2 linked regions of the Nothobranchius furzeri genome follow. The protein of the gene in region 2 purifies or fractionates together with the protein of the main gene of each other region. This does not show direct contact. Links are inferred from orthologs where the notes say so. Each region holds a gene or a part of one and is shown on either strand. Other genes may lie near its edges.

Region 1 (6,005 bases), on a different chromosome or scaffold from region 2:
AGGCGATTTGTTTATTTATTTATTAGGCCATGAGTTTGTTTGCTATTGACAAATATTTTACACGTTACACACAGAGAACATCGCAGAGGTAACAATCAAGAAAAGATCTCCATCAGCGCATCTGAGCCTTTTCTCACCTCCTCCTCTTCTCGCTGCTGACAGTGCGCGCACAAGCAGCGCGCTGAGGAGGAGCTCGGAGAGCGCCTGTGACACACTCGACATCGTGCACAACAGTGCATTGTTGTTGTGGGTCAGAATTATATTTAAAAAAAAGCAGACGGAAAATGCTAATATTTATAGTGGGGGAGTGGGGGGGGGGGGGGGGGCAAATGTTTGTGTGCAAATGTTTGTGAGGGGGTGTGATTGGTTTCCAGTTAACCGGCTATTAACTGTTAAGGGGCGTCAATAACTGGTTAAAGAAATTTTGGAAAACGTGCATCCCTAGTATGTGCTCCAAGAATGAGGTCAGCTGACTACCTGAACATACTGAATGACCAGGTTATTCCATCTTCCCTGATGGCACGGGCATATTCCAAGATGACAATACCAGGATTCATCAGGCTCAGATGGTGAAAGAGTGGTTCAAGGAGCATGAAACATCATTTTCACGCATCGTTTTGTCACCACAGAGTCCTGACCTTAATCCCATTGAGAATTTTTGGATGTACTGAAGAAGGCTTTGTGCAGCGGTCAGACGCTACCATCATCAGTGCAGGGTCTTGGTGAAACAATAATGCAATACTGGGTGGAAATAAATCTTGAGACGCTGCAGAAGCTTATTGAAACAACGCAACATTAAATGTCAAAGCTAAAGGCAGTCCAACGAAATATATGAGTGTGTGACCTTTTTATGGGTCAAGCAGCATATTTATGTGCTGCTAAACAAAAGTTTTGTTTAAGAATTTATTCCAGGACTGGACAACATCTCAATTTTTTTTTAAATGTTGACATATTATAAAACAAGATAGAAGATGATGCAGTAACATATAGACATAATTGTTTATATAAACTTGATATTTCATATTTATATGGAATTATCACATCTTATTGATCATTTAACACAGATGCAGCCAATCCTTAACACTACAATCGCTAGCTTGCTGGTTCTCCGTCTCCGACTACAAGTAGTCATAAGTAGTAATATATTCTTACAAGTACGGACAATTGTAGGCAAAAAAATAAAATAAAATAAAAACTTAGAGAAAATGTGTTCTCTAGGGGGAAAAAAGCTGAAGTTGTATTTCTAGCATAACTTTTACATAAACTCACATAAATTGTCACAAAAGGATATAGGTGAACATGAGCTGAAGCTCAGAATTATTTAGCTTTTTCAGCATGTTTGTTTTGCCAAACCAGAGATTTCTAGGGTTGCATGTCTCGATGATTGCTACTTTGTGGGTCTGAAGCTGAAAGGTTTGAGAGCCACTGTGTCAGTTAAAGCATGACAGAGACCACAAAACAAAACAGACAAAAACTTGAGTGGGACACAAGAATGTACAGCACCTGCCACAGAGCGCTGGGCGAAGCTGGAGGTAAATTCCCTCTTACAGAGTATGTGGACATAAAAAGGACCACATTGGATCTGAACTTCATTTTCTATGTTGTTGGCCACAGGAAATGCTCAAAGACAGCTTCAAGAGCGAGGGAATGAGAAGTCTGTTAAAGTTAGTTGGGAAAGTCACTTGTCCAGCAGAGGTGTCGGCTAAAGCACAAATCCAAACAAAGCTGAAACTATTCTTCTAATGTGATTAGTTTCAGATAAGGTGTTAGGAGTTTCTTAAGAATGAGAATAAGCCTGCATAAATGGTTAAACAACACGTAAAAGCTTTGAGGCAACATTGGCTGACATACATCGGCGGCGCTTCCACCAAGTAATGCCAGTACGACATTCTGCACAAAATACAACGATAAAAAAGTTAAAACTTATTTAATTGTGTGTTGAGCTGTCCTGAATGCAGGTTAGGTTGTGCTATAAAAACAAAAGGAAAAAGCATCGCAACTTTCTGTATTCATCTGCCACAAACCTTTAAATTTAATTTACAGGGTGATCGCTGACCGTGTGTGTGTGTGTGTGTGTGTGTGTGTGTGTGTGGTGTGTGTGTGTGTGTGTGTTCGTTCAGAAGCTACTCACTCTCTCCATCAATTTTATCCGTTCCCCGAGTCCAGATAACAGTCCTAGTCTCCAATTTCACTTGAAAAGTCCTCCTTTCTGGGCGCTGTGATTTTTTAGAATAAAACAGAGTCAGCACAGTGCCCAGCTCCAGATCCCGGCACAGACTGTTCTCCTCCGCGTGGTCCGTCCACGGAATAGGTCCATTGGAAAAGAAGCCTGAGTTTCCAGCCATGTTCACTTCCCCTGTTTGTTTTACGTTTCCTCTTAGAACAATCTGCTCAGTCCGGGCCTAGACAGGGTTACCTACAAATGAGGAGGAGAATCCATGAAAATGCCCCAGTTATGTGTGCACTCTACACAGCTGCAAAAGGGTCAGGAAAAGACAATAATAATATAAGAAAACTGTTGCACACACTTGTACATTTATGTCAGCAGATGTGCAGACAGATACGTTCATCTCTCTGAACAGCTCTCACCTACATTTAAGGGCGCATCTTACAATATTCTCATGCAAACTTACTAAATGTTGCATTGATTTGTTTATAGAATTGTATCTGAATAAATTGTTTTCTTAGGCGACCATTTTTGACTTATTTAGAGCATTAAGAAACAATAATATGCTTTGTACGATTGACATCTTGATGTTTAATCACACAGGCTAAAACATATATAACGCGCATGCATCAAAAATATTTTAATCCATTGAATTTAGATTTTTAAGTACAGATTTTTTATTAAATACAGAGTACAGCACGATTACAGATCATAAAGAGTTACCCGTCAACCATTGGTGTAAATAAATCAGAGATCCGATCTAAACTCCTTAAATAATGATGGATTATTTATTTCACATGTGTCTGAACACATTTAGCTTTTAGGCCGGTGGAAGCAGGTATGCTTATTCTGATTTAAGCGTGTAGAAAAAACCAACAGGCCTGTGAACTGCTGCGGGAAAACAAAAGTTTTGACTCAAATGCATCATTTTGGAAATACGACAGGTGAGAAAAACAAGAAAAATTGGATCGCAGCGTAACATGAAGTGTCTATTAACTATTTTCCCAGCGTGGAAAAAGGGTCCGGTGAGGGCTACCCACCGTCCATTTGGCTGGGCCCAGGAAGAATATGGCTGGCTTCTCCCAAGAAAAAGGACAGGTAGCGGCTTTAATCGTCTCCCTTCTCTCATTTCTTCTCTTTAATGTGCGGAGAACAATTTACAAGAAAAACAACAAAAAACAACAAGCAAAAAGAGCTGTGCTGGAAGTGCCTACCGCAACAATCTCGGCCCGACCGCTACAGCACATCTCCAAAGCCTGCTCTCCTCGTCTCCCGTCGTCTTTTCCCTGCTTCTTTGCTCCACGAGCCCGGTTTCCCGTTATTAAATCATCGCCAGGGCCTCGAACGGCGCTGCTCTCCCAACGACAACAGTTCCAGCAGTTTCCTTTACTCCCCTCCAGTCGTCCATAGAGAGAAACAGGCAGGCAGAAAGCGAACCGTGGCAAGACTACGCAAGTTTGCTCTCTCTGACCAGCTCTATTACTCCCCCCACCTTCGCAGCAAACCACACTTCCGTTGCGGCCTTTCACAATAAAGCACGCATTCACAGTAAGCATTGTGCAGAAATGAATTTGCAGACCACGTTGCAAAGGATAAACGTAAAGGGGGAAAAATAATAAAACTTGTTCTACTCACAGTTTTGCCACGTTGCTCTTGCTAAATATTTTAACAAAACATGGATTTTATATATTTTTTCTAAATTCGAAGCAATTTTTGATACGCATTTTCTGTTACGTCTACAGTGAGTTATAAGAATAAAATTATCAAGTGACATGGGTCAAATCACCGTATAGCAAAACATCCCATTCAATGCCATCCTTATTTCGCAAAAACAAGACAAAACAGTACTGTCTTTTTTTCTTTTTTCAGTCAGATTTTACATATTTTCTTTTTAGTCTTTATAGTATTTACACAAACTTGCGGCGGTTTTCACATTTTCACTTCGTGTAATTTAGCTTTAAACCTTTTATAAGCAGCCATAATATTTAAATGTGGAGCCACTTATAATTTCATAATTTACACACTTTATTTATTTGACATATAAACTTGTAATCTACATCTGTAGGCATTAGACAAACTCATATATAAATCTTTAGTGACACACGAAGTCATGCTTTTGTACTGAAGTCAATTAAGAAACTTCCGGGAATTCCTTGCAGTAACAACGTGAACTTGATTATTCTAAGGAGTACCATCTCGACTATTCAGGATTAGATTTTTATTCTCAACCTTAATCACAATATCAGTCCGTTAACTTTATAATTATTTTCTCTTCACTTTCATTTTTAATGTATTTATTAGTTTTTCATTGAAAACCCACCAAAACAGAGATTAAATAGGTGAAAGTGGAATTAGTATTGGTGATTGCTGGACTTTGACCCTGTTGGTTGAATAGCTGCTGATTATCTCATCGAAGAATGTTATTTTTTCTGTTTTTATCTCTGACCATATATCTGACCACATGTAAGCAAATAAAACGACAAACAAAAGACAAACAGGACAAAGTTGATGTTTTATTCTGAAAACTACAAAGCTCAAAAGAACAACAGCTTTGAAACAATGCCAAGATTGTGTCTAAAATGATTTAATAACAAGAAATATTGATGACAAAAGTTAGAATATCCATTTATGTTAAGAAAATGTTCTAAGACAAGTTCTGCTTTATCATAACAATTTAAAAAAACAGCACACAACAAGGGTAGATGATGTGATTTTTTTGGCAATCTCCACACCCCTCCATCAGAGAGAAGAGTCTCCTTTAGCTTCAGGACACAAAACATATGCTTCAGCTTAGGCATGCCGATGGGGGGTCTGTAGGAGGAATTGGGGGGGGGGGGGGGGGGGGGGGGGGGGTTAAAAGAGCGGGGGAAAAGGAGGAATCCTGGTATGGGGGCCCATCTAATATTATATCGTCCCGGGCCCAAGCAAGGCTTTCAGCTGGCCTGCTTCAGTTATTTCATGTAACCAAGATCAACGTTACGCCCTGTTTGCTGTAAAACTGTGGAAACACACACGTGCTCAGGAGCTGCACGTGAAGAGCTTTTTGTTGAGGATGCATACGGCACGCATAAAAAAAAAACAATCACTGAAAGGTGACAAAATCCCTGAAATAAAAACTCAAGACTGCATGGATAAGAGACAACATTCGGTGTGCCTCCACATTGCCTCGCTCTTACTATCCCAGTCAAACCATTGCAGCTGAAAGTCACCCCATCCTCACCTTTCATGATGTTCCTAGCAGTCTTCCACACACAATAATTTATTATTCTATGACAATATTAGGTTCTTCCAATAGATCTGATGGCTTACAAATCTTAGAACATGTCATCTGACACAACATAATACTAATGTGTTCATACTTGTGTGGATTACAGTCAGATAGCTCCTGCTACATACACAATACTAAAAAAAAGGTTCCTAAGGAGATTTACCTCATGGCAATGTGTAGTGAAGCGAGTTTTCTCCTGTACACAGCCAGTCAGTATTTACAGCAGACTTATTAACCTGTGATCACAGCTTAAGTGCAGTCCTGGTTTCTTCTTCCACTTGCCACGCCACACAGTGAAAACATCATGACATCAGCTACAGACCACCCTTACAATCAAAGGCCTGGGTAGAAATGTAAAAACACCAAGTGCGGTTAAAACTCGTAATCCTTTTCAGCCATGTCGATCGCCCAGGCGAACTTCTCCCTCTGGGTCTTGTTGTAGATCTTTTCAATAGGGATGCCATACTTTTTACACCTGGACAGATGAAGACATGAATCAAAAGGGATCACATGGAAGGTCCAATGTCAACAGAAAATACCAAGATTCAAAAACATTCTAAAGTTAAAGCA
Region 2 (5,510 bases):
AGTATAAAAGCATCACTGCTCAGGATCCAGTTATCACTTAAAGGAAAGAGGGGCGCTGAGATGAGAACTACTCGAGTCACTTTGTGCCTGCTGGGTTTTGGTAGCAGATTGCCAAAGAAACCGTTAGAAAATCAAATATTTGGCCCTCTTGACGAAGAAAATCAAATGTACACACATCAGAGTACAAACAGAGTCCGTGAGGAAACGTTTTTCCTGTGCAGCTGTCAGTTTTGTTTTAAGTTGCTTGTTCTCAGTTGCTGCTGTTGCATAGCTGTCTTGTGGTGAACCAGACAAGATGATAGGAGAGGGTGGGTGGGAGGTACTATCAAAGGAAGACATGATGGAGAGTGGTGGATGGGTTGCCATGGTGATGAAGGAAGAGCATGCTAGGCCTCCGCAGGGCTGCACTCCAGGGGGGAGGTGAACTGGATGGGGAGACGAGAGGAGAGCAGTACTACCTGTTGCTGTTGGACATGGCATACTGAGCCTGCTTCTGCTGGAGGAGCTCGGTGATGGCCAGCAGCTTTTTCAACACATGCTGAAGAAAAAAACAAGAGTACGATGACTTCTAGAGCAAGCTTTGAACTCTTGGAGCTGTGATCGTCAGTCTCTGACCTGCTGTGCGCCCCTCTCATTGCTCAGGATGCGAAGTTCAGCTGAGTGTGCGACACAGATCTCGTGCAGCGCGGCCAGGTCCCGCGGCAGGTCGGCCCTAAAGCTCTCTATGGTGTCCGGCAGCTCTGGGACATTCTACAAACGTGACAGTTTTTTATTGTCTGCTTGTGAAGAGAGGGCCTCAGTCTCTCAAAGATACTATACCAACCATTAAAGTTTTAAACAAATCAGATATTCAGCTTAAAGGTTTGATCCAAAAAGTAAGAAATGAAACTCACCCCTAACTCATCCAAGAACATGATCATCCGATGTTTGTTATTTTTTATGAAAGGGTTCACACCCTCCATGTAGGGCTCCTGTCAATAAAAATAAATCAGTAATTAGCTAAATACTTTTGCATTTTGTGAAAGTTTAAATGGGATGAGCTCATACCTTAGCACCAAACTCAACCAGGTTGGCCAGGTTCTGGACAGACTTGGCCACCAGTGTGAGGGTCCTACCTGCTGTTGAAGATGGAGGGTCTGGAGGGGAGGAGCAAGAGTCCATAAAAACTGATTTCCATATTGCAGTAAAAACATATTCGGGATGTTTTTTTAGCACACACTTACCAGCTATGATGTTGAACATTCGGGGGTTGAGGATGGCAGGGCAGATCAGTCTTAAAAAGACAAAACCACTAGAAAAATACAGATGAGGTGGAAGTTAGTCAGCAAAAACAGCCTTTACCCATCAAAGTATTCAGATTGTTTAGAGACGCTGGTTTACCTTACAACTCTCGTCCTCATGGTGGTGTTATTGGGCCACTTCCTTTTGACAGACATCTGCAGGCACCCGTAGATATACCTCAATGTCCTGTGTGACACACACACACACACACACACACACACACACACACACACACACACACACACACACACACACACACACACACACACACACACACACACACACACAAAATCAGCCGAACTCTTTGGGTCTAATGATGAAGCAGTAAAACCATTTTTTAAAGAGCAAGTCACCCCCTACCAGGGTATTACTCCACTCCCATTTCCTGTTTGAAAAATGCAACAAATGCTGTTGCCTAGCAGACCAAAGGGGCGGAGCCACTAACAAACACACACACATGCTCACAATGACATTGTGACATCATATGGTACCAGCTAACATTCTAAGGTACCTCTTAGGCCCTGTCCACACGTAGCCGGGGATCTGCCAAAACGCAGATATTTTTCTACGTTTTGGCCTGTCATCCACACGAAAACGGAGTTTTTTCACACGAAAACGGATCTTTTTAAAAACTCCGGCCAAAGTGAAGATCTGCGTTTTCTCCGTTTTGGGTGTCTGCGTGTGGACAGACAAAACCGGAGTGTTAAGGTCCGCAACGTCACTTTCCGCGACAAAAAAATGCTGACATCACGTGTGCAACCTGTGTTTACACTAGCCGACATCATGGAAGCCCTCAAACCTGCGCTCTGTCACTACCCGATCCATCAATTGTCCAAGCGCTTTCTGCTTGTTTGTTTTTACAAGCGGAATTACTGCTCCTTGCGGAAGACCACAGACGAAGGACGAGGTTAAGAACGGGGGAAGTACTGCCGCCTACAGGTCTGGCATGTCCTTAACAACGTATTTATCCGGGTACGTGTGGACAGAGTTTGTTTTTAAAACGCGGTGGTGTGGATGCAAGTTTTTGGAGGGGCGGATATTCGTTTTTAAAAAACCCCGGCTACGTGTGGACTAGGCCTTAGCCAATAGCGATGGCAGATTTTATATCAAATGCAGTGCAGAGTTTTTACCGGACAACGACAAAACACTGACAGTTTTAGGCAGAAAATTGAAATGTGTACTAAAATGCACTAAAGTGCAAAACTATTGACTACACGAGTCTGCAGCACAATCAGATACGGATTTATATAGTTTATCAGAAAAAATAAAAGTTGATTTGAGGGTGACTTGCTCTTTAGGTGTTAGGAGCTTACGATGGTAAGATTTCAGCAGCCATGAAGATCTTCTCCACTAGCTCAGACAAAATGTTTAGAAGATGGGTCAAGTTCATGTTCACGTCCTCGTTCTTCTCCAGTTTGGAAGGGTTCAACTGCAAAGGAAGGGAGGGACACATGAAAGAGGACATTTGGACAGATAATTATTTCTATGTGCTGAATGAAGGCTACATGCAGGTTTATTCATTTACCTCGCACGACTGTTTGCTTTCCATAATCTTCAGGATGGTGTCTTTGAGTGCGTGATGGACAAAGGGAGTGGCGGTGGCCTTCATGTACTGCTCCATGAGCGTGCTGGCCAGCGTGGTAGCTCTGAACAGTGTTGTGGCTTCATCTGGGAGGATGCGCGTTACCAAGTCAAACTCAAGTTAAGCTGTTTTAAAATGACCTCACATCAAATCACGCCGTCTGCGTCTCACCCTCCATGCTGATTTCTCTGTCGTTGAGTCTCATTAATAAGGATGCTTCAGCCTTCTCATGTCTAAAGATGCGCAGGAGGAGGCTCGCCAGTAACGTCCTGTCCTGACCACACACGTGGGCCAAAGCATAGATTACATGGAAATCTTTCTGCAAAATCATCTGTAGAGGACATAAAGAGACCGTTTTGATTCAACAGCCATGCTTGCAGCCAAAAAGTTGCAATCAGAACCACTTCTCAGCAGGCCTGACCTCCTTGAATTCACTGTACTCTTCTTCAGGCATGATCTTCTCCATGGAGTATCGGGAGCGTATACGCAAGGTGCCGGGCTCGATGCCCTTCAGAGGAACGTGGGAGCTCAAAGAGTACCACTCATCATTCATCTGACCCTTATTCAAACTGTTTAGCTGGCACCGCATAAACACTGAGAGGAGACAAAGAGGAGGACAACAAGGAAAAGATCAAAATGGGACTGTAGAGTTGAAGGTTATTACTTTCTCTAATTTATGATCACTTACAAATATCATTTTCTTTGCTCTTTTTTGATTTGTTGCTCAGACTGATTTCAAATCGGTTAATTTCACTGGACAGGTCACTGAAAACACAAAAAAGGCATGTTGGAATTTTGCTAACACAATCGTGAAACGAAAGGAGACGAACGAGCACCGACTCACTCAAAGATGAACTCTTCAGTGAAGACAGGATTCTGCCCTTCTCTCGGGTGTGTTTTAGCAACCTGGATGCTGTTCAGGAAGATGTTACAGTAGGGGTTGGTGAAATACTTCATAGGCAGCTTGTGGGCCTCCTCCACATACAGCACCAGACTGCTCACCTGAGAGGAAACGCACACAAAATGAATGTTATTCGCCATAATTACAACTTCGCTGTTTTGCTCCCGACACCTGACAAATCTGGATCAATCTCTATCTGCCTCAGGATACATGCATTTTTGACTTAGCTGACAAAGAAAGCTCTGAAACTTAAAGAGTGTCAGTTATCTACGAGCTTGGCTTCCTACTTTTTACCCTCTAGATTTATGATGTCCTCGATGCCCTTACTAGATCATCACATTTGCAGATGACACTACTATAGCAGGGATCATCAATGGGAGGCCTGGATAGTGCAGAGGAGCCAAATTAATCCTCAATGCCACCCAAACCAAGGAACTAAATTAGGACTGGGCTGTTTGTTTGAGTCAATCTGTGGAAATGGTCCTGAATGTCAGATTTCAATAGAAGAACAAGACCTGTTGTAACACTGGAAATTTAAAACGACACTGTCCCCAAAAGTCCATCACTAGTCAAAATGTTCCCAATACCTTTTAACTTAGTTTTTGTTTTTTAGCTGCTTCACTATGTTTTAATATTCACACTTACCTGTCTAAGCCTCTTGTTGGAAGTGGGTGCTGTGGTTTTTCTTAGGTTACTGCAGAAATTTTGAAGACATTTCAACCAATCCTGCAAAAACAGAACACAGTCTGAAAGTTACAGCACAGTTAGCAGTCTTTGGGAACTAGCAAAACTGCAACTCATACCAGCAATTAGTTAACTGAAACCCAACAAATAAACAAGGAACATTAAGCCAAATATTAATGAATCTTGTGACATGCATCATGTAGTTATTGGCGATATTAACAGTAAGTGGTACAAATTATTTAAATTTTGCCAGTGGTAGAGATTTTAATAACAATGAACCATCGCGACTGCGCTTCAATGTTGCAGATCTGCGACTACTTTGGACGAATGCATTGCGGCTATTGCAAGCATAGATCTGGTGGAGGAAGAAAAGCTTGTATAGAATAAACCTCTAACCTTTTTTTACTGTTGGTTTTGCAGGCAGTTATTCACTACTGAAGTAACACTTAAGTTGTATGAGTGAGTGAAAAACAGGAAAAAACAATAAGTAATCAAGAAAGCAGAAAGCGATGTTTTTGTTTTTAGATTTTAAAAGTTCAGTTCCAACTGTTTTGAATTTTGTGTTTTCATATAAATTTTAGTTTAAATATCTTCATCTTTATTCATGTTTTGAGAATTTTTGTGTTGCATTTTTTGTAAAAAAAAAAAAAAAAAAAAAAGAATCAGGTAAAAAAAAAAGAATCAGAACACATTAAAAATCACTAGGTTATTTTTTGTGTAAAATACATTTTGCGCTTTAAATGACAAACGTCCCTTTTCTGCTGCAGTGATATTGTATGTGAGAATGTTCATAAGCAGTCATTTTGAGATATATAAACATAAGGAAAGATTATATCGCAATTAACATTGTTACCGCAAGTGCTTCTGATTCTACTGAGGTGTCGACCCTTTGGACGTGACATCACGCTGCACATTGGACCTTCACGATAATGGACGACAAAGAAACTTTGAAACGCCTTTAAAGGAAGTCAAAACAAGCCAGTTTGTAGCCTTAGATCCGCGACTGGCTGCACCAACAGACAAGTGTGTAAAACTCAACTTGTCTTTTGATCAAATGACTTT

What was found.
Region 1: the proteins of rasa1a (region 2) and plcg1 purify together in Homo sapiens (affinity purification with western blotting; 3 studies listed by BioGRID and IntAct, with this or other methods). This does not show direct contact. The link is inferred for Nothobranchius furzeri from reciprocal best matches to the Homo sapiens genes RASA1 and PLCG1.

The regions. Positions count from the first base shown.
Region 1 is NC_091755.1:60,774,113-60,780,117, reverse strand, and holds the start of plcg1 (1-phosphatidylinositol 4,5-bisphosphate phosphodiesterase gamma-1), read right to left. Parts: upstream 3,616-6,005; 5' UTR 3,382-3,615; intron 3,304-3,381; exon of another isoform or gene 3,208-3,303; intron 2,417-3,207; 5' UTR 2,346-2,416; coding exon 2,132-2,345; intron 1-2,131. Other genes in the region: top1b (DNA topoisomerase 1), read right to left, coding at 5,808-5,910. UniProt on the Homo sapiens protein: Mediates the production of the second messenger molecules diacylglycerol (DAG) and inositol 1,4,5-trisphosphate (IP3). Plays an important role in the regulation of intracellular signaling cascades.
Region 2 is NC_091757.1:43,329,339-43,334,848, forward strand, and holds part of rasa1a (ras GTPase-activating protein 1), read right to left. Parts: intron 4,491-5,510; coding exon 4,410-4,490; intron 3,866-4,409; coding exon 3,708-3,865; intron 3,629-3,707; coding exon 3,552-3,628; intron 3,458-3,551; coding exon 3,285-3,457; intron 3,195-3,284; coding exon 3,035-3,194; intron 2,950-3,034; coding exon 2,807-2,949; intron 2,711-2,806; coding exon 2,595-2,710; intron 1,468-2,594; coding exon 1,381-1,467; intron 1,292-1,380; coding exon 1,224-1,291; intron 1,137-1,223; coding exon 1,048-1,136; intron 972-1,047; coding exon 894-971; intron 751-893; coding exon 616-750; intron 539-615; coding exon 459-538; coding exon of another isoform or gene 455-458; exon of another isoform or gene 1-454. UniProt on the Homo sapiens protein: Inhibitory regulator of the Ras-cyclic AMP pathway. Stimulates the GTPase of normal but not oncogenic Ras p21; this stimulation may be further increased in the presence of NCK1.